Arabidopsis thaliana: one gene and its partners. The protein of the gene in region 1 interacts with the protein of each later gene in a pairwise test. Each region holds a gene or a part of one and is shown in the gene's direction. Other genes may lie near its edges. The genes, in order: CYC3B, CAK4, CDKD1;3 and ETG1.

Region 1 (6,241 bases):
CTGATTTACAAACCGGTTCATAACTTCTAGCGAATTCAAAAGCTCGTATAGCTTGTTGCACCATACCTACAAGCAAATTGGAAAAACTATATTAAAGTCAAAAGCTTTATGCTTCTATTACTCTAAGCTAGCTCTTTGTATCAGCAATATTGATGAAGCTACAAGAAATCTGCATACCAGCACGAGCATACCGTCTGATCAAAACGATGAACGTATCTGCAGAAACCAAATTCGATCCTTCATCGCTTCTCACTCGATCAAAAACCAACGACCAAGCAATTTCAAATTCACGAGCTTTACATAGAGAATTGACAACAGAATCGAAAAGTGAAGGAGAAAGTGTAAACCCAGGTTTCATCTCCGCCCATTTGAACACTGAGTGAAGCAACATCGGCGATGAACTTAACCGATCGAACAACGCGTGAACCAACTCAACACTCGGTTCGATTCCGGTTTCATCTAAAGCTGACTCGAGACTCGAACCGGGAACAACATCAGTGTTCTCGAGAAGATTCGATATAGTAGAGAGATCGGTTTTCGAGACGGTGTTTTGTTGCGGTGGAGTACATGTAGAATCGGGTACGGCGGGTGATTGTATCCGTTGGATGAGAGGCTCGACGGGAATGAGCGGGGATGAACGGCGAGATGATGATAACAATCTATGAAGAAAGAAGTTGCGGTGAGGATTAGGGTTTAAGAGGAGGTTGCGGCGGAAGGCGGTGAACAGAGAGTTCATTTTCTGCCGCCGTTTATTAGAATTAAGTGTCCGCCGAGAAAATTAGGACACTCCGATTACGCGCCATTTGGGCTTTTGTTTGTTAACTGAAAATATCGATCAACATGGCCCATTATTTTAAAATGAAGTTACATATAGAATATTTGATATATATCCTCATACAACTTAGAAATTGTCTTTCTAGTCCTTCTCCACACGTATTTAATTTGTTTTTTATAAAGATGTATATACAATTTATCATTTATTTTTTTGGATAATTTACAATTTATTATTTTGCAAGTAAGAATCCGTGTATGCGTGTGATTCGTATATGTCCAAATACATATAATTAATGTTGTTAAATTGGTAGAAACGCCTTTTTGACTAATGTTTGAATTTCTATATGTGAATAAATATCTTTCGAAATAATTGTGAGAATGCAAGGCAATGGATGTGGTTATTTTCTCCCTCCATTTCCTTTTCAAATTTATTTTATCCCTTTAAAGAAATAAACATATAAATATTATTGACCAAATATATTAAATTGATTTTAAGGTAAAATAGTTGGAAAATATGTGTATAATTAGAAAAATGTCAAAAATTTATAATTGATCTGAACTCGAGCACTTGTTGATGTGTATTTGGATCGTATTTTCCAGATACATGAATTTTAAATTAACATCTTTTAATTTGATTAAGTAAATCAACGATTAAAAACGTGAATGATGGTAGATACATTGCGGTGATAATATCGTACAGAATCGTTTAATGTAAATATAATGTCTATTAATGTATTTTCGTTTCCAAATTAGAAATTACTGTAATTTACGTAAGGTAAATATATTTTTTGTTTTCAAAATAATAGTCATTACCATTTTATGTTTGTCGGAAATTTCTCGACCAATAATTTGTCTATCTATCGAAGTAGTGTAGTTCTTAAAAAACAAACAAATTACCATAACATATAAACTTTTTTTTGTTAATTGACAGCTCCAACATATGTGTAGTAATAAAAGACAGTTGCACTATTCCTTGTATAGTAACTTGGACCAAATTATAGAAATCATTCTTACAATTTTTTACCAAAGAAATTGAAGATTTTTCCAAAAAAAGCAAAGAAAGATTTTTTAAATTCCGATTTTTTTTTTTTGTTATATCCAAAAAAATCCGAATTTCAAACAGTACCTTTTTCAGTCAGTCGCTTCCCCCGCTCCTCTCCGCTCTCTCCCCCACCTACACATATTTCAACACTCTCTCTCTCTCTGGAGCGTTCTCTTCTCTCCTTGAGCTTCTCTTACCGCCATTAGAGCTCCTTCACAAACTCATAAACCTATTTGTTGAGCCAGGTATCATCATCACCTCTCGTCTGCTCACAATTTCCTGTTTGATTACCGATTCTCTGAATCGTAGCTTGTTGCTCTGCGTTTTGATCGATCGGAGCTAATAGTAGTTTGGATTTTAGTCTAATCGATCTCTCTAGCGAATGTTTTTTGGTCTTCGATTGAGATGATCGATTCCTCTTTGTTGTTTCCGCTTGTATTTGGTTTCTGCGTATTTGTTCTTCAAGCATGGCTAATCACTGGGAAATTGAAATTGTTGAGATCGTTCTTATCTGTTTGACTGGATTTTATGAAACGTGTGTGTACTCTATGGCTCATTGTTTGTTTAAGTAATCGGTCTTTTAAAGGATTTTTGCTATGAAGAACAATGCTTAATTCGATTTGGAAATGACTAGCTTGAAAATTGGATCTATCGATGCAGATTAATGTGAAGGAAACATAGAAACTAGTTGTGATAAGCTGGGTTGCTTGTTTAAGCTGACATTTACTCAATAGTTAGAATCGTGTGGAATTGAGATCTGTGGCTAAATTTGAGTATGAAGAAATCGTTTTAATTGCCACTATATGCTTGTTTCTTCCTGAAATTTATGCTGCATTTGAACATTGCTTGATCTTTTTGATGGAGGCAAGGATAGACATTTGATTATGAACTGTTGTTGTTCTGCAGGCTTGGCTTAACCACTGGCCTTTTTCCAGACTAAATTATGTATTGCTCTTCTTCGATGCATCCAAATGCAAACAAAGAAAATATCTCTACTTCAGATGTACAGGAGAGTTTTGTACGAATAACGAGATCACGAGCTAAAAAAGCCATGGGAAGAGGAGTATCAATACCTCCAACAAAACCTTCTTTTAAACAGGTACTGAAACATGTTCTTATAGAAAGTCATGAATTTCAAGAGCTGATGCTAAACTCTCTAATTTCCTGCCTCTGGTTTATCAGCAAAAGAGACGTGCAGTACTTAAGGATGTGAGTAATACCTCTGCAGATATTATTTATTCAGAACTTCGAAAGGGAGGCAACATCAAGGTAAAGATTTCAGATGATACGCTTTCATTGTCTTGGTTGGTTTATATCTTATGTTGGTAATATAGCCTTCAAACTTTCCCTTTGGGCTTATTACTGTTGACATCACGTTGCAGGCAAACAGAAAATGTCTAAAAGAGCCTAAAAAAGCAGCAAAGGAAGGTGCTAACAGTGCCATGGATATTCTGGTAGATATGCATACAGAAAAATCAAAATTAGCAGAAGATTTGTCCAAGATCAGGATGGCTGAAGCCCAAGATGTCTCTCTTTCAAACTTTAAAGATGAAGAAATTACTGAGCAACGTAAGAACTACAGTGTTCGTGAAAATAATGATAGTTACCACCTTCTCCTCATTTCCGAGGTCATGTTGATCACTCGCTAACTTTAAATCAAGCATTGGACTCCAGAATGCTGAAATTAGTTATTCCCATTAAATTTGTGTTGTCAAGGGTTGAAACAAGTGAACTCTATACCAACATGAATTTCTCAAACTTACTTAAGGTATGTATCTTATACTGGATTGTGCAGAAGAAGATGGATCAGGTGTCATGGAGTTACTTCAAGTTGTAGATATTGATTCCAACGTCGAAGATCCACAGTGTTGCAGCTTGTATGCTGCTGATATATATGACAACATACATGTTGCAGAGGTATTGAATTACATGATCCAAATATTTGCTTTACATCTTTCCACTGTTAACTTCTTGTAACTAATCTCAATATAACTACTTATATGAAGACTGTTGGAGTTATAACCTCTCTTTTCTTGCAGCTTCAACAACGACCCTTGGCTAATTATATGGAGCTTGTGCAGCGAGATATCGACCCAGACATGAGAAAGATTCTGATTGACTGGCTTGTAGAAGTTAGTTACCTTCAAACTTAGCTCATATATATAAATAACGGCATCATCTTATTATGTTTCTTATTGAATAGGACACTAAACCTTACTATACATAGCTTTCTTACAAAAATTAGAGCAAAAACTGAGAGTACTTTTGAGTAAAATAGTGAAGTGCGTGGTATTTTCAGGTTTCTGACGACTACAAGCTGGTTCCAGATACGCTTTACCTTACAGTGAATCTTATCGACCGGTTTCTGTCCAACAGTTACATTGAAAGGCAAAGACTCCAGCTCCTTGGTGTCTCTTGCATGCTTATAGCTTCGTAAGTCCCTACTTTGTTGTTTGTGTGTGTTTGTCAATTTCAGGTTATAGCAATGAGAACAGCATTTCCATCACTGGGAGAGCGCGAACCTATATATATATGTATACTTGCTAAGTAGAGAAACAAGTAAGGCTTATCTTCCTTATACATTTTTGTTGAACCTTGTAGAAAATATGAAGAGCTTTCCGCACCAGGGGTGGAGGAGTTTTGCTTCATTACGGCCAACACATACACAAGACCAGAAGTAATTAACATTCAAATCACACATCTCTCGGTATCTTTAATGTGTACAGATTCTTGATGAAAATATATAAACTGGAATCTTTGTTTCAGGTGCTGAGCATGGAGATTCAAATTCTAAATTTTGTGCACTTTAGATTATCGGTTCCTACCACCAAAACATTTCTGAGGTAAATACTAAAGGGCAGAACTATGAATCATCATATCTTTCCAACTTTGTTTAAAAATAGTACCACTGAGTTTTCATCTTACCAATGTTTTTTCAGGCGGTTCATTAAAGCAGCTCAAGCTTCGTACAAGGTATGAAACCATGATCCATTTATCATCAACCCTCACTTCTACAGAAACTTGGAATCTGAATGTAGTGCGTTGTTTCTTATAATTATTTTGCAGGTGCCTTTCATTGAACTGGAGTATTTAGCAAACTATCTCGCCGAATTGACACTGGTGGAATATAGTTTCCTAAGGTTCCTGCCATCACTAATTGCTGCTTCAGCTGTTTTCCTAGCCCGATGGACACTCGACCAAACTGACCATCCTTGGGTCAGCTCATGTTTCTTGAATCTTGAAAAAGGTTGTTTTTGTGTTTGCCTCTTTTTTGTGCTGATAAAAAGAATGATGTTTGGTTATAGAACCCTACTCTGCAACACTACACCAGATATGAGGTAGCTGAGCTGAAGAACACAGTTCTCGCCATGGAGGACTTGCAGCTCAACACCAGTGGCTGTACTCTCGCTGCCACCCGTGAGAAATACAACCAACCAAAGGTACATTTCTCTACAAAACACCGTTAAATCAAACTACTGATTGTTGAAGAAAAGTGAATGAATGATTGAACTGGTTTTAATTCTGTATGACTTTGATAGTTTAAGAGCGTGGCAAAGCTGACATCTCCCAAACGAGTCACATCACTATTCTCAAGATGACACCAAGCAACATCGAAAACAGAGCCCAAGTCAGGTGATCAAAATACCTATTTTCAGACATTGGATGTTATGTCGTCTCTTTGCCAGTTTTGTCTGTCTGTAATTCTGTAGCTATTGTGTGGCGCCTTAATTGTAGGCCATTACTTGTCACACCACTTAGCTTTAAATAAATGTTATGGAATTTTTCTAATCGCATTGCTACAACTATTTACTATCCTGCGGGATTTTGTACCTAGGAGCACTTGGAAAACGAATACAAAAGTGTTAATTAATATAAATTTCACTGTTCATGGCTGGATTGTTATGTTGTTTGTTCTGATTTCGCAATGCTATATTCATATGGAAACATTTCCATCTACAATTAACGTCTCCCGTGTAACATTTGGTATCCCCTTTTTACTGATTCCTCCATGCTTGATTTTATTCGTCAAATTAGTCTTCAGGTATACTTCAATGTATGTATTTCCATGGCTTGAAGTTCTTCAATCTTCCACAAATTCAATCAAATCCTAAAATTCGAAGATACGCCAACACTTTTCCTCCTTAAAAACTCTCAACTATACCCACTTCAGTTCCTTAAGTTGAGTTATCACAGCTACAGTTCCTTATATAGTCCTCCACTAAACAAACAAGAAATCCCTAAGTCTGTAGCTCGACTTAAAACCGCTTCAGATACTTTTCTCAAAGTCGACTTACCTATAATTTTCTGTATGGCAATAGCCTCTACCGCCGTGATTGCGCACGAGATTCATTTACAAAGATCAGGACGCCTAAACCGGTAACTTCTCACTATAAAATGGTAAAAACAGTGTTATTGTTTACATGA
Region 2 (5,171 bases), on another chromosome or scaffold:
TCACCAACGTCGCTGTATTGCATAATCCTGCTCCTTTTGTTAGCCCTTTTCAGTTCGAGATTTCTTACGAGTGTTTGAATTCTCTCAAAGACGGTAAAAATCTCCTCTTTCTCCTTCCCCTGAATTGTAATTCATCTCGACTTTATTTAGGTTTTAGTCTCTGCTGATTCTTATGGATTGTTTTCAACACCAATTTGTTGCTGCTGATTGTAATTGGAACATATTGTTACCTAATTGCTTTGTCAGAGTCATGCTCTAATGGTTTGTTTTCTAATTGATAATCTAGAGTCTTGTTGTCTATTAGTTGGATTTATCTATGCACAAGTTCTTGGTTAACATTGTTATAGGGTGAGGATAACTTAGATAGACCCGTGCTTTTGCTTGTGGTACAGATTTGGAATGGAAGCTTATCTATGTAGGCTCAGCAGAAGATGAGACTTATGATCAACTTCTAGAGAGTGTGCTTGTAGGGCCTGTTAATGTTGGCAACTACCGCTTTGTATTTCAGGTAACATATGCACTACTACCTCTTCCAAGCACCAACAAAGTCTTGGTCTAACTCTCTATTACTACTGTTACAGGCTGATCCTCCGGATCCATCAAAGATTCAGGAGGAAGACATCATCGGTGTTACTGTGCTATTGTTGACATGTTCTTACATGGGTCAAGAGTTCTTGAGAGTTGGATATTACGTGAACAATGATTATGAGGATGAGCAACTCAAGGAAGAGCCTCCAACTAAGGTTTTGATTGATAAAGTTCAGAGGAACATACTTTCCGACAAACCTAGAGTTACTAAATTTCCTATAGATTTTCATCCAGAAGAAGAGCAGACTGCTGCTACTGCCGCTCCTCCTGAACAATCTGATGAACAACAACCTAATGTCAATGGTGAAGCTCAGGTTTTACCTGATCAGTCAGTAGAACCAAAACCTGAGGAATCATGATCCTTATACCAAGTCTAGTTGAAGAAAAGTGGATGAGAATTGAGAACTATTGTCTCCACAGATGTTGCGCTTTGCTTTTCTGTCTTTCAAAAGCATTATATGCTGTTTGTTGTACTTAATTCTAGAGGCTTTAGGGAAGTGATTCTTGACATTTTTGTATGTTTATGTTTTGGGCAAAGGTTTTTTAAATCGAAGCAAAGCCAACAGTTGCCAAACAAGATTCTGAGTTCTGATGGTTGGAATTTGGTAATAGGTGTAGAATAACTTCCCTAGATTTTCTCAAGGTACAAAGCGACATTTGATCTTCATCATTTGTTGAAAAAAGTGCCGTTAAATGGTCATAGTTAGCATTGATGATGATGATTATCATCATCATCAACCATAATTCTTTCACCAAAAAAACATGAGTCCGTGATTTTTTTAGGACCGTTTCACAGTTGTTCTGCCAAAAATATGAGTCCGCATTTATTCACCAAAAAAAAAAAAAAAAAAAAAGTAGTACACATTACAATTTCTCGCCTAACGATTTTACTCTGTGGTAAACCGAAAGATAGTTAAAAACGGCTCCATTTCGATTACTTTGAAAAAAAAAAAATGTTTGTTTTGTTAAAAGAAAATATCTTTTAAAATATTAAAAAATATTTTATTCAAACTTTTATTAATACAGATCTAATTACTAAACTCAATAACATTATAAAAGCCGTGTTCGGCTAAGCCCAGTAAGCCCTATATGTTTTGAATAAATACGATATTTTATAATAAACAGATTGTTGTTTTTAAATACCTAATAATACATAATATATTCCTATACTTGACAATAACGAATAAGAATTATATTACCTATTATTTTGGATTTCGTAAAATTATTTTATATTTTTTTTAGGTAAATGGTAAATTTGTAAAAAATAGCTACTTTGATATTTATATTGTGTATTATTTTCTACTCGATAAGATTAATCATCAATAGTTCGAGGTGGAGGGTTAAATTATCTAGGGTCTGATGATCATGTAGAATCACTTCCTGCAAACAAATCACGAGTGTTAGCATATTTATGCTATCCACAGTATCATATGGCTGTTTCTGATTATTTCATAAATATAAGGTTCGTTTCATAAAACACAAAATCTTACGGGTATAAAATTGAAACCAAAGAATTCAATTTCTTAAAAGTGTTTCACTAGGAGCCCTCGTACTTCCTCGAAGTGTACCGGAGAATCTAAACCCAATGTCGAAATCCGGCGATAATCAACCAGTTGATAGATACCTCCGCCGTCAAATCCTCGGAGAAGGAACATACGGTGTCGTTTACAAAGCCACCGACACAAAGGTAAAATCAAAAACCCTTCCCGATTTCGTTTTCAATTTCATCAAGATTTTCAAACTCAACAATCTTCGATTTTGTGATTTCCTTAGACTGGGAAAACTGTAGCAGTGAAGAAGATAAGATTAGGAAACCAAAAGGAAGGAGTAAATTTCACAGCTTTAAGAGAAATCAAGCTACTAAAAGAGCTGAATCATCCACATATCGTTGAACTCATTGATGCTTTCCCTCACGATGGAAGTTTGCATCTAGTTTTTGAGTATATGCAAACAGATTTAGAAGCAGTGATTCGTGATCGTAATATCTTTTTATCTCCTGGTGATATTAAGTCTTATATGTTGATGACTTTGAAGGGTTTAGCTTATTGTCATAAGAAATGGGTTCTTCACAGGTAAGAAGTTATGCTTAGGTTTATAAAGATTTGATTTTGATTGTGTTGATGGTTTGTTTTTGGTGTGGTTGTTAGGGATATGAAGCCGAATAATTTGTTGATTGGAGAGAATGGTTTGTTGAAGTTGGCTGATTTTGGTTTGGCGAGGTTGTTTGGGAGTCCGAATCGGAGGTTTACTCATCAGGTATTGATGCTATGATTGATACGGTTTTGAGCTTGGTAGCTAGGTTAGTGTAGTTCTTGATGATCTTATTGGATTTATTGGTTAGGTATTTATATAGTTATTGATATTTATGGTTGCATTGGTAGCTAGATTAGTCTGGAGTTTGTAGTAAATATCTTGGTACTTCTTCTTGATGATCTATTTTGAATTTTATGCTCAAAATGAAGAGTCGGTACAGAGTATTGAGAAGATATCATACTTTATGTGTGTTTGGTTTTGGTGAGGTGAAAGATTGTATTGACATTTTTTTACCCTAGAAGATTCTGAGATTGATTAGTTATGAAGAAATCTCTTCTATTTTTTGTTTGAATTGACAGGTAGATTAGTCTTGTTCTTGATGATCTATTGGTTTTTTTTTGCTGGGACAAACTAAGAGTATATATAGTGCATTGAGAAGACATACTATGTTTTTAATTCGAATGCTTGCATACCTATGTTATTGGTTTCGGTTGGTGATTACAAGTTTAAGTTTCCGGATAGCATTTTGTTGATTACGGTCATATTAACATTTTGACTCAAGAAGATTCTGCAATTGATTAGTTCTGTAGAAGTCTCTTTTTGCTGGATATGGAAAAATTGATACAGAGTATTAAGAAGACATCATACGGTTTTAATTTTGATTCTTGCATACCTGTGTTTTTCGATTTTGGTGAGATGAGAGATTGATGGTTCAAAGTCACCAGATACAGTTTTGTTACTTACGGATGTATTAACATTGTTACTTTAGAAAGATTCTGAGATTTATTGGTTGTGTAACTTGTGTAGATATCTCATTTGGTTAGCTATTTGTATCTGCTTGTGGAAGATTCGTTAAGTTTAAATTGGTTATACTTATTCACACAGGTATTTGCTACATGGTACAGAGCGCCTGAGTTACTGTTTGGGAGTCGACAGTATGGAGCAGGAGTTGATGTTTGGGCTGCAGGCTGTATTTTTGCTGAGTTACTACTTCGTAGACCATTTCTTCCGGTAATGCTCTATACCCTTCGTACTTCATGTTTAAAAAGTCTGTAGTTCTCTAAACATTTCCTATACTTTCTTCAGGGTTCTACTGAGATTGATCAACTTGGAAAGATCTTTCAAGCGTTTGGTACTCCAGTACCTTCCCAATGGTCTGACATGATCTATCTCCCAGACTACATGGAATTCTCCTATACACCCGCTCCACCATTACGTACCATTTTCCCTATGGCAAGTGATGACGCTTTGGATCTTCTAGCAAAAATGTTCATCTACGACCCACGTCAAAGGATCACAATACAACAAGCTTTAGACCACAGGTATACTCTTGAAAAAGAAACCCACGGGACAAAAATTCTGTTTCATCACTCTGATTATCATTGGTTTTTTCATCAGGTATTTCTCGTCTTCTCCATCACCAACTGAGCCAGGGAAGCTTCAGATTCCAGCTTCCAAAGGAGACGCACTCGAACCAAAGGCCTCCGAGCAAAACCAACATGGAAATAGCCCAGCGGTACTGTCTCCTCCTGGTAAAATGAGGAGAGTGATGGGTCCTGAAGGATTCACTTGAGAAGATGATGTTTCATTTCTTTTGGAAAATATCAATGGATATGCCCAGAAGATTTCAAAATTAGATTTTTACCATTGATAATTCAATATTAGTTAACTATCAAAGAGAAAAAATTTAAAGCCATAAATGTCCTTCTTAGTTCTTACTTTGTTTAATTTACCAAATATGTCATGTATCAACTATTGTTATAATTTCACTATATATCAACTATCTTACCATATTAATATAAATATTATTCAGATATTTAATATGTTAGCACGTTATATTCAGTATAACATGTTATTATAAAGTTAAATTGATTATTTCATATTAATTTGTATGATATGGTAAATGGTTTAATACGATATATAAAAATTTATCGTGATACTATACTAGTTAACATATTAATCAAATAGTTATATATATTTAGCACGATACTATACTAGTTAACATGTTAATCAAATAGTTATCCACATAAATCATAAATATTTTATGCAATCCAATGATAAATACGACAGTGTCGTAAATTTCGGATGAATAGTGTCTTCAGGCAGTTGATGAACAGTATCATGTCTAAAATATCCGGTAATAAATAGTGTTTTGAGACAATGACATATTTAGTAAATTAAACAAAATGAAAAAGGAAATTTATGATTTTAATTTTTTTCTCTTTCATACTTACCTAATATTAAACTATCTATAATAGATATCTAATTTTCAAGTCTTCCAGGCATATACATTAATATAGCTCTTTCCTTTTTTCCTTTCCTTGACTATA
Region 3 (4,939 bases), on another chromosome or scaffold:
CTCGACCACGAGGTCCTGTAGATCCCGACGAACTTGATGACAGATTGCTCATCTTTCAACTGGAAATAAAAAAATTGGGAATCGATTTAGGGTTCTTGAGTTTTGAGTTTGGGGTTTTAGATTTTGGATTTGGGATTCGACAATGGATCGGGTTTTAAAAACGAATCCGGGTTTTTTTGGTTTGGTTTTGACCGATAATATGGTTTCGTCTCGGGTTTACGTATCAAACCGAAGTAACCACGATTCGGGGACATTAAGCTCTTGAACTTTTAATTGGTGGGGAAATAGACGTTTAACTTTCATTTCATGGGTAAATAGCAAGAGGTCAAAGATCGGGCTTCATCTAGCCAGATGCGATAGTTCCCATGGGGAAATAGACCGTTTTTCCGTAATGTTCTGATGTTAAACAGAATGGTTTTATAACATAACAGTTCATGTATGTATGATTTGGTTCTTACCGGTTAAGTAGATAATGTATGGTGAAAATGGAAAACGACGTCTCTCACAACAAAAAACAACTAAAACCCAAAATCTCGACCCAAAACCGAATTTAACTTCAAATTAAGTAAATATGGCCCGAAGTTATAAGCCCGAATAACAGAGGCCCATTATAAAACCTGGAGCACAAGTTTCTCGTCTATAAGTGCTAGGCTACGCATAGGGCTCCGTGGATTTGTTCTAAGAGGATATTCTCCGTTGATTTGCAATTGTCAATTTCCAAGCTTCAGAACTAGAGTTCGTTCGTTCACGACGTCACTGTGGCTCTCGCGGCGTGGCTGTTACTTTCCGGTGGGTGAGGTACGGTACTTGTTATCTCTCTCCGAAACCCTAAGTAGTCCTTGGATATGTATCTTTGCCTTTTCTTATATTTACGTTTAGGAAGATAATTCGTTTTCTTGGTAGTTTACCCCTTGTATAAATATAGTCATATAGAGCTCAGGGTCAAGTGATAATCAACACATTCAATCGATCTCTTTGCATCTCTTGTCATCAAGGGTTAACTTTATCTATTATTTTGTGTTTCTCTTTGTATAGAAAAGAGATGTCGAGTGATTTGCAATCGAACTCCGGCAGATGTACCTCCGAGGACTAGATATTATGCGGATAGCTCAGCCCGTTTGGTTTTCATGGAGGGGCCTGAGATGGAGAGAAAGATGATGACAAGCTATGCGGGAAACCCAAAGTACTCCTTCTTCTGGAGCTCAGATCGTTATCATGCTTATTACCAGAAAAAGCTTGCTGGATACCGTGCGCAGAATTACATGAGGGACCTGAGATCAAACTTAGTGATTATGGGATACCTGATGTTCCATTGAGGGTGAGGGTAAGGGAACCACCGCTTCAGATTCCAAAACCTCCTCCGGGCTTTGCTAGTGACCAGAAGCCGACAATGAAGTATCCGCCTCCACCACCTCGCAAGTATGCAGCTATACTCCCTGAATGGATTACTGGCAAAGAGCTTGAAACTATCAAGGAAGGGGATATGGACGAGAAACAGCAACGATAGCTCTTAAGAAATCAGCTAAACTCTAGCAAAAACACGTGGATTGCTAATATGCTTTATAGGTTATAGGTTAAATTTGTTGAGGTATAAAACAGTCATTTCAAAAAATCAAAAATTCACGATTAATTTAGCTATTGTTTAAAAGTTTAGATATTAAATAATATTTTTCTCTTTTATAAATCGAAAATGTTTGGATATTAAATGTATAAAAAACTAGAAAAGTAAATAATTGGGCGTTTCTCTTTATTTGTTGTTTCCCTCGATTAGCCGATTGCGTCTGCAAACGCGCCAACGGCTACTTTTTCTCCGGAGCCGGAGCTCTCAAAGCTGAAACCCTAAATTTTCCCGGTATCTTCCTCATCGTCGATTTTACTCAATTTAGAATAAAAATCGGAAAGCAATCGAATTCTAGCGACGTGAATTAAGAAGAAAGAGAGAGGCGCGATTATTGAGTGGGTTCTGAAAAACCCGAAAATGCCGGAGCAGCCAAAGAAAGTTGCTGATAGGTATCTCAAGCAAGAGGTTCTTGGGCAAGGTACCTATGGAGTCGTCTTCAAAGCCACTGATACTAAGGTCATATCTTTGCTGATTTTTGTTTGCAAAATTAGGGTTTAGGATCTGTCGGCAATTCCTAATTTCTCCTTCTTTTTTGGTTCCGGATTTTGATTGAAGTTTTTGTTGGATCAAGGGGAAGTAATTGTGGGGTGTAATTTTGCAGACGGAACAAACTGTAGCAATTAAGAAGATAAGGCTTGGTAAACAAAGAGAAGGTGTAAATATTACAGCTCTCAGAGAAATCAAAATGCTCAAAGAGCTAAAGCATCCTCATATTATTCTGCTCATTGATGCATTTCCTCACAAGGAAAACTTGCATCTTGTCTTTGAGTTCATGGAGACTGACCTCGAAGCAGTTATTCGCGATTCTAACATTTTCCTCTCACCCGCCGACATTAAATCCTACCTCCTAATGACATTTAAAGGACTTGCTTATTGCCACGATAAATGGGTTTTGCACAGGTACATTTGTTTATCCTTAACAACTTGCTTATTGTCTCTGTAATGTTGCTTGGTTTGGGCACTGATTATGTGTGGCTTGAGTTCAGGGATATGAAGCCAAATAACTTGTTAATAGGAGTTGATGGACAGCTTAAGCTTGCAGATTTTGGCTTAGCACGTATATTTGGTAGTCCAAATCGTAAGTTTACCCACCAGGTATGCCTTTTGCCGCATTGCCATTTTATCTATTGCTGTAATATAACCAAATTGATCGACTAACTCATATGAAATATTGATAAGAAAGTTTTAAGTAGTTCTTATCAGTAGTTATGTCTAGGGATGAGGAAGATTAGATGTCTCATGTCTTTTCATTTCTCTAGTTGTATACTAAATGTAACATGTATTAAACAGTCTCAACTCATATTAAATGATGGTGCAGTAGCTATCTCATATCTGTACTAAAAGTTTTGCTGTTAACCGGATTTTTGACCTGAGCTATTTCTGCCTTCTTTGTTTCCCTTTGAACACCCAAAATTACAATAGAATCCATGTGAGCTCTGTTTCCAAATGCGCAATGCAACTTATTTTCTCTTGTTTCTAGTTGTTATATTATCTTCATATCTTGATATATCTGATAATGCACAGGTGTTTGCTAGATGGTACAGAGCACCAGAACTTTTGTTTGGTGCAAAACAATATGGTGCTGCAGTTGATGTTTGGGCCGTTGCCTGCATATTCGCCGAACTTCTACTACGCAGACCATTTCTTCAGGTTAAATAATCTTACTCAAATCTAATGGCTACCATTAAAACTTTAGTCCAATTGTCATCTCTTTGGATGTTATACTCACTCTCAGACTACATAATTACATATTCATTATCAATTTTCTCGGTATGTTTACTTATTCTATTTTTGCCGTTGCAGGGAAACAGTGATATTGATCAATTAAGCAAAATATTTGCTGCTTTTGGGACACCAAAAGCAGATCAGTGGCCGGATTTAACAAAGCTTCCAGATTATGTAGAGTATCAATTTGTCCCTGCACCGTCTCTACGTTCTTTATTCCCAGCAGTTAGTGATGATGCTCTCGACTTGTTGTCCAAAATGTTTACCTATGACCCAAAGGCTAGAATTTCCATTAAGCAGGCTCTAGAACACAGGTGCCTAATGTTCACCATCTGTTTATAGGCAAAGTATATCTAGCGTTCTGCTCTCACACCTTTGTTTTCATTATTTCAGGTACTTCACTTCTGCACCTGCTCCTACTGACCCGGCTAAGCTCCCAAAGCCCGTTCCTAAGCAGGATGGTAAATCATCTTACGGTAAACATGAGGCCATTACAGTGCAATCACCACCACGTAAGCTTAGAAGAGTGATGCCTGAGCGTGGGAGGGTTGATAGTTTGAAGTCTCATGTTGACAAGGATCAACAAGCACCCATGTCATTAGATTTTACCATCCTCGCTGAGCGACCTCCAAACAGGCCAACAATCACCAGGTAAAAAACAAGACAGTTTCTCCCTCACTGCATATTAATCTCATTTGTCATTACAGCCTCAAGATTGATTGTGTTTTAATGACTTCTTCTTGTTCAATTTGTAGTGCTGATAGATCTCATCTGAAGAGGAAACTCGATCTTGAGTTCCAGTAAGACTGTTGGTTATGCACTCTTCTCTTAGCTTCTCCATTTTCATGTTCTGGTGAAACCACACCATTGTTAAGTTGTCAATTTACTGCTGCTTGTGTAATCTGGCGATTTATTCTTTTCCATATTTAGCTTGATTACAAACCAGAGGGACCTTAGATTCACAATGATAATATTTTGTTGTCCCATAGGCTTTTTATTCATTGTAAACTGATCATACTGTACTATGAAGTCTATGATTATAAAGCTTTCTACTTTTTGCTTCTAGAATTCTTTGCGGTACAAAGAGAGCTCTGTTTAATCTTCAAACTCATTTTTCTTTCGATGGTGGCCCCAGGAATTTAATTGATCCATTGACAGCTCAAAAAGATTTTACCAAATACCAACAACAGGTTTATAAAACACATACGAGCCAGAAAAACAGATGCCCACATGTCAGTCAGGCTCTTCTTTAGTCATACCCGCTTGAAGACTATCACGATTGCTGTGCAGTTGTCTTTGCAACGACGTTCTTTCACAGCTTCCTTCACAAGACGGCGACTTACCGTGCTTACATGCAAGCCCTCCTACAAAATCATAGTTCTTAGCCTCTTAGTTTCTCACATTTAATTTCCCTTGACACTCTTTACTTGTGTGCACAAGGTTCTAACAAGCCATTTTGCTCACATGGCTACCGAAAAACATCTGTTTTTTGAGCTTCTTTCTATGTAGTTAAAGAGAGTGTGAAATGGAGGACAAAGTGATTTTGACAACTGTAGGTATTTACCTTCAAAAGTTTCTGGACAAATCCAACAG
Region 4 (6,083 bases), on another chromosome or scaffold:
TTAGGTGCTGAGGCCATGTTTGCTGATCTTGGTCACTTCAATTACGCAGCAATTCAGGTTAGTTTCTACTTTAGCTTGGATGATTTACTTATTGTTATATCGCCACAGGTTTCAATAAATCTTTGTTTTGTTTGCTGTAGATTGCGTTTACCTTCCTGGTTTATCCGGCTCTTATATTGGCATACATGGGGCAAGCTGCTTACTTATCCCGGCATCACCATTCTGCTCATGCAATTGGGTTTTACGTCTCTGTACCAAGTCAGTAATTTGCCTTACTTCAAGAACTCAATTTTTTTTTGGTGTTGATCATTGAAAACGTAATCTGATCTTTTGTTTATATAACTCCATGGTTTTGAACAGAATGTTTGCACTGGCCTGTGCTTGCTGTAGCAATTCTTGCTTCTGTTGTGGGAAGCCAAGCGATCATCAGTGGGACTTTCTCAATCATAAACCAGAGCCAGTCTCTCGGATGCTTCCCTCGAGTCAAAGTCATTCACACGTCCGATAAGATGCATGGTCAGATTTACATACCGGAGATTAACTGGATGCTCATGATTCTCTGCATCGCTGTTACTATCGGGTTTAGAGATGTCAAACACCTGGGAAATGCATCAGGTATGAGATTCTTTTATCAACTCAAGAATTTTGGATTCTTCGACTTTGAGATTATATTCCTTTGTGGTTGGTTGCAGGTTTGGCTGTAATGGCGGTTATGCTAGTGACAACATGTCTTACCTCATTAGTCATTGTTCTTTGCTGGCACAAGCCTCCAATTCTAGCGCTAGCGTTCCTTCTCTTTTTCGGTTCAATAGAACTTCTCTACTTCTCGGCCTCACTCACCAAATTTCGTGAAGGCGCTTGGCTTCCGATCCTCTTATCTCTAATATTCATGATCATCATGTTCGTTTGGCACTACACCACCATTAAGAAATACGAGTTTGATCTCCAGAATAAAGTCTCGCTTGAATGGCTTCTTGCATTGGGTCCAAGCCTCGGAATTTCTCGAGTTCCAGGTATCGGTTTAGTCTTCACGGATTTAACCTCTGGAATCCCCGCCAATTTCTCCCGGTTCGTCACCAACCTCCCTGCCTTCCACCGTGTTCTTGTCTTTGTCTGCGTGAAATCTGTCCCTGTCCCGTTCGTTCCACCTGCTGAGAGATACCTCGTGGGTCGTGTTGGTCCCGTTGACCACCGCTCTTACAGATGCATCGTTCGGTATGGATACCGTGACGTCCATCAAGACGTGGACTCATTCGAAACAGAGCTCGTAAGCAAGCTGGCGGATTTCATCCGTTACGATTGGCACAAAAGAACACAACAAGAAGACGACAACGCTCGTTCTGTCCAGTCCAACGAATCCTCAAGCGAGTCAAGACTAGCCGTGATCGGAACAGTAGCTTACGAGATCGAAGACAATCTCCAACCAGAGAGTGTCTCCATCGGATTCTCCACAGTCGAAAGCATGGAAGACGTCATACAAATGGCCGAACCAGCCCCAACCGCCACCATAAGACGGGTGAGGTTTGCGGTTGAGGAAAACAGTTACGAGGACGAAGGATCAACATCGTCAGCAGAAGCAGATGCGGAACTGAGAAGCGAGCTGAGGGATTTGCTGGCAGCGCAAGAAGCAGGAACTGCGTTTATATTGGGACATTCACATGTGAAAGCGAAACAAGGATCATCGGTGATGAAGAGATTAGCAGTTAATTTCGGTTATAATTTCTTGAGAAGGAACTGTAGAGGACCTGACGTGGCTCTTAAGGTTCCACCTGTTTCTCTTTTAGAAGTCGGCATGGTTTATGTTGTTTGACTTATGAAAAAACTAAATATATGAAAACCTAATTCCTCTGTTGTAAATTCGTCATGTTTAGCTTCATAGATCTCTGTTTCTGTGTTTGTGAGTCTGGGGTTTGACTTTTAACAAATCTTAAGACCAAGATGGTCAGAGGATCATATATGCCAAATGAATTAGTTTATTATACACATGAAACGACATCGTATGGAGAGGGGTCCAAAACGGTGCGTTGGAAGTTGGAGAATGGGCATGGATAATGGCGGGAATAACCTAGGAGATATGGCGGGAAAGGCCCAACTATACACACTTGACATTGCCCTTAATTCGTGTTTGAGCAAAGACTCAATCTTTCATCTCTAGATTCTTGGCGATTCTCGCTACATAGTACTTTGGTAAAGAGTGAAATCAAAGGTTGGTTTTGAGATATGGGAGGACCAGCTTACGATTGTCTGACCAACCCTTTAGGAGCCGTCCGATTCTCCTTCGTAAATGCTCTGTCTTCAGGCTACGATCCGGCTTCGTCTGTCGGAAAAGACTGGGGTGTCGTTGATTTGTTCCGTCACTACTTCTCCGACGAATCTGCTATCTCCCAGGTTTGCCCTAAAACCTTTACTCTGTTTCTATTTTTTTTTGGGTTTAGGGCAATTGAGTATGTTTTGATTAATTACTACCCAATTAGCATAATAGGTTGATTTTTTCGTGTACTTTGGCTCTGTTTCTAAGTAAATCAGCTTACTTTAGGTTTTAGTCTATCCATAGATTGGTTAATTTGGGTTTTTTCAAGGATCTGTTTTGAGATATTTTTCTTAATTAACCGATAGTGTTTTCTTTTGTCTACTAGGTTCCAATTCTTGATTCGTCAAGTATTAAGTGGGTGCAACCCAAGACTCTTGTTCGGTTTCGTGGAATGATACAGGACATGCTTGGGAATGAATTCTATGCTGGTGCTTACAAGGTAGGAATATGACTTTTGATGGTTTCTACTAAAGAAGAATTCAATCTTTATCTATCAGTAACTGTTTCTGTTTTTACGTTCTGTTTAGGATGATTCAACATGGAGAACAAACAAGTACAGTGATGTTTCACAGTTTCCTGAGGGTTCTTCCACTGAAATTCAAGTTTGGGAGCGTCGCTTGCTTTACTGTGTTCCAGTATGTTTTGTCTCATGCGGATCTTTCTTTTTTGTTGTTGGTCTCTCATATATGTTTAAACATAATAACACTTGATTGCAATGTTTAGGTTCCGGGAAAAAACCAGTGGACTGAATGTTCTTCACAAGAGCTAAAAAACCGGTTTTTGGATCTAACTGGCCAAAACAGGGAAAAGCGTGTGAGGGTGGATGAAGAAATGACTGATTCCATGGACTCCAGTGTAAGCAACTTAGGTTCTCATGTTTGCTTTATATGAAACTGATTTTGTTGTAGCAACATCTATTGGTGTTGTTTGTCAATAACTTATTTTAGCCACCATTGCAGACTTTAGAAGCTGGGCGTAATGGTTCTCCTTTTAAGAAAATGGTAAGGATCTCTAGTCTCTTAAGTCTTTCTTCAAAGTCTTTATGAGTCTAACACTATAAGCTACAAAGTTGTGGAAAAAACCATATATTATAAACTTTTCTTTACTGTTACTGGGAAGAATCATGAGACATTGAGATTTTGGCTGATGAAGAATTTCTGATTAATACTGTTTTTTATGTTCATCAGAAAGTGGGGGAAGCTACTTCATCAGCTTCAGAATCTCAGGTTCCACAAACTTCTGGTATTCCGCCTGCTACAAGTGCAGATTCTCTGCCTTGTCTTGTCAAGGTAAATATATGTTTACATTGTTCTTTATATTACCTGTTAACATGTGTATACAAAAGCAGCAAAGACTAGTCTGTTGACAAGATTCTTATGCGGCCACGCAGATCTATGATTCTCCAGAGTCAGATTTGAAGCTAAATGATGTGGTTGAATTTCTTGGAGTGTTGACCTTCGATCCAATTGTTATGATGGATACAGATACACTTGATGAAAACTCTGATGCTCTTTCTGAAGCTGAATCTGTTCAGATGCCCTCTGGAAAGGTCCCACGCCTCCATTGTCTTATCCATAGAAAGCTTGAAACACAGCATTTCCTGCATGGTTCTTCGTTATTACCAGAGGCAAGTATCATCGATTTAGAAAATATACCTCTCATACCTATTCGTGTTTTGAAATTTGTTTTAAATCTCTTGTTACTTTCCATTTAGCAGCCAAAATCCCCCCAAATATTCAAAGAGATAAGAGAGAGTTTGATGAAGTACCTTACCGGTCTACTTGGGAATGATCACATTGCCGCACAGTTCCTATTATTGCATCTCCTGTCAAAGGTAATTAGTTGAAAAAGGATCACTTGTTTTTATTCTCAGCTATTACTGCTACGGCCTTCTATATTCATATGTTTTTTTTCTCCTTTACAGGTGCATGGAAGAGTAGATAATGTTGCTGTTGGGAAGCTTTCTCTTAATCTCATACACCTTAATAAAGAAAGCATGTCTATCTTCGGTACCCAGCTCAGTGGTGCCCTCAAAAGCCTCCTACCGTTCACACAATCTATACCACTTACTATTGAGTATCTGAACACTGCCTCGTTCGGTCCCAAGAAAGACTATGGAATCAACAGGTAAGAATCCAGTTCTACGAAATCTTAACAATGGTTTTGAATCATTCTTCTCTTGAAAGACCTGCAATTATATTGTTTTTATGACTCAGATTGATGCCTGGAGTTCTACAAATTGCTGATGGTACGCACTTGATATTGGATGAAACAGAGTTGCAACCAGGCACCTTGAACTCTGTTGGAGTTGAGAATGCAAATCTGCTTAAAAACCTCTTGGAATGTCAGAAGGTAGGGCAACGTCATTATTCACTTTTAATCAGATTCAAATATGAATATGGAATCTGCTGCTATTTCAGGTTGAGTATGATTTCCAATATTACAAAATGGAAATGGCCACTGATGTTCAAATGCTCATATTCTCCGAGGGAAAGTCGAACATAATGCCCGCCGATTTGGTTCTACCTCTTCAACCTTCTCAAGTGAATTCATTGGAAGTCATCACACCAGAAACAGCTGAAACTTGGAGGTGCTACTTAGCTACTTGCAAATCATTATCACACTCCATTGGGCAAGAGTTGCAACAGGTATGTATATATCTATTGCATTAATGTTAGAATCTGCCAATCTGGTACTTCTAAAGAAATCCATTGTTTTCAGACTTTTGACTAATATTTTCTGCAAATTTTTGTTGCAGGTGGTGGAGAATGATTTGGTTGCAGCTAGACAAACAGATCGTAGTTTAGGCAGCCAAGACTTGAGCAGGTACAAAAGCCCTCCTTAGGGTTTATCCTTGTCAAATATGTGCAAAACTTACAATTATGTTGTTTGGTTCCACAGATTGTTGACAATGGCTCGTATGATGTCTGTGAGTTATGGTGAGACTACGCTTTCACTAGAGCACTGGCAAATGGTGTTGGAACTAGAAAGACTTAGAAAGGAGAGGCTCAAGTAAAACCACCGTAACGAACAAGATGTATTATGGTTTCGAGACTATTTGGATATTGTAATTTTCACTAAGTTATCTGAGTAAGAAGAACCATATCGTTTCATTTCCTATCTATTTATTAAGGTTCAACTTTTGAGCTATTGACTGGTAATGGAAAATGTTTGAGAAAGAAGAAAACTTGGAGACTTCAAACCCATTCCGGTTAATTTTCATCGTTGATCTGACATGGTAAATACTGAATAAAGCACATGCACACTGTGACACCTCTACTTTAAAAAGTACCAAATAGATAAACTGACTAGAAGATTATTTTCTTGTGATGCAAGTAAGAAACAAACTCAACCAATCGACCTTACTAAAGTATACTCTTCTATAAAATAAAGAAATTTCTTCTCCCCCGTATGTAAATTGAAATCACCAGATGGAAGTCTTGGTATAGAGATATATCGATCTGATAATCTTATCACGGAAGAAGACTTTGGTCTCGATTGCATATCTCTCACGTACGACTCTCGTTTGTATGAATAGAAAGAACAAAGACACACACAATTTAACGAGTTCCCAAGGTCAAACCGATCCTTGGTACATCTCGGCTAGGCTTTGCCATAGCAAATTCACTATCCAGTTTTTTTTTTCTTTTTTTTATACATATGTACACAAGAGAGATAGAGAGAGGATTAGGTCAAAAGAAGCTTCGAGAAACTTGGAATCAACGACCTAGATATCTCCTTGTTGTCTTCTGTTGTTGGCGATGGAAGTCCT

What was found.
Region 2: the proteins of CYC3B (region 1) and CAK4 interact in a two-hybrid assay, tested with the Arabidopsis thaliana proteins (one large-scale study listed by BioGRID).
Region 3: the proteins of CYC3B (region 1) and CDKD1;3 interact in a protein complementation assay, tested with the Arabidopsis thaliana proteins (one large-scale study listed by BioGRID).
Region 4: the proteins of CYC3B (region 1) and ETG1 interact in a two-hybrid assay, tested with the Arabidopsis thaliana proteins (one large-scale study listed by BioGRID).

Annotation. Positions count from the first base shown.
Region 1 is NC_003076.8:3,600,985-3,607,225, reverse strand, and holds CYC3B (mitotic-like cyclin 3B from Arabidopsi), read left to right. Parts: upstream 1-1,875; 5' UTR 1,876-2,061; intron 2,062-2,722; 5' UTR 2,723-2,759; coding exon 2,760-2,915; intron 2,916-2,998; coding exon 2,999-3,085; intron 3,086-3,198; coding exon 3,199-3,385; intron 3,386-3,611; coding exon 3,612-3,733; intron 3,734-3,855; coding exon 3,856-3,948; intron 3,949-4,115; coding exon 4,116-4,249; intron 4,250-4,417; coding exon 4,418-4,493; intron 4,494-4,582; coding exon 4,583-4,659; intron 4,660-4,755; coding exon 4,756-4,789; intron 4,790-4,882; coding exon 4,883-5,032; coding exon of another isoform or gene 5,033-5,121; coding exon 5,122-5,256; intron 5,257-5,355; coding exon 5,356-5,415; 3' UTR 5,416-5,713; downstream 5,714-6,241. Other genes in the region: AT5G11310 (Pentatricopeptide repeat (PPR) superfamily protein), read right to left, coding at 1-66, 178-736.
Region 2 is NC_003070.9:24,892,602-24,897,772, forward strand, and holds CAK4 (CDK-activating kinase 4), read left to right. Parts: upstream 1-1,921; 5' UTR 1,922-2,173; coding exon 2,174-2,275; intron 2,276-2,361; coding exon 2,362-2,660; intron 2,661-2,735; coding exon 2,736-2,844; intron 2,845-3,726; coding exon 3,727-3,852; intron 3,853-3,927; coding exon 3,928-4,163; intron 4,164-4,239; coding exon 4,240-4,414; 3' UTR 4,415-4,658; downstream 4,659-5,171. Other genes in the region: SGA2 (ASF1 like histone chaperone), read left to right, coding at 1-93, 393-508, 582-947.
Region 3 is NC_003070.9:6,206,339-6,211,277, reverse strand, and holds CDKD1;3 (cyclin-dependent kinase D1;3), read left to right. Parts: upstream 1-1,749; 5' UTR 1,750-1,978; coding exon 1,979-2,077; intron 2,078-2,222; coding exon 2,223-2,521; intron 2,522-2,607; coding exon 2,608-2,716; intron 2,717-2,816; exon of another isoform or gene 2,817-3,132; intron 3,133-3,145; coding exon 3,146-3,271; intron 3,272-3,424; coding exon 3,425-3,660; intron 3,661-3,739; coding exon 3,740-3,997; intron 3,998-4,101; coding exon 4,102-4,150; 3' UTR 4,151-4,407; downstream 4,408-4,939. Other genes in the region: AT1G18050 (SWAP/surp RNA-binding domain protein), read left to right, coding at 1-12, 723-793, 1,036-1,316; AT1G18030 (Protein phosphatase 2C family protein), read right to left, coding at 4,600-4,710, 4,911-4,939.
Region 4 is NC_003071.7:16,932,707-16,938,789, forward strand, and holds ETG1 (E2F target protein 1 (ETG1)), read left to right. Parts: upstream 1-1,914; 5' UTR 1,915-2,220; coding exon 2,221-2,388; intron 2,389-2,636; coding exon 2,637-2,750; intron 2,751-2,838; coding exon 2,839-2,946; intron 2,947-3,034; coding exon 3,035-3,166; intron 3,167-3,270; coding exon 3,271-3,312; intron 3,313-3,498; coding exon 3,499-3,600; intron 3,601-3,701; coding exon 3,702-3,938; intron 3,939-4,028; coding exon 4,029-4,145; intron 4,146-4,235; coding exon 4,236-4,438; intron 4,439-4,527; coding exon 4,528-4,663; intron 4,664-4,731; coding exon 4,732-4,959; intron 4,960-5,069; coding exon 5,070-5,137; intron 5,138-5,212; coding exon 5,213-5,327; 3' UTR 5,328-5,566; downstream 5,567-6,083. Other genes in the region: KT2 (potassium transporter 2), read left to right, coding at 5-57, 141-258, 361-615, 693-1,810; AT2G40560 (Protein kinase superfamily protein), read right to left, coding at 5,999-6,083. UniProt on the Arabidopsis thaliana protein: Associated component of the MCM complex that acts as a regulator of DNA replication. Binds to the MCM complex during late S phase and may act by promoting the disassembly of the MCM complex from chromatin. Required for sister chromatid cohesion.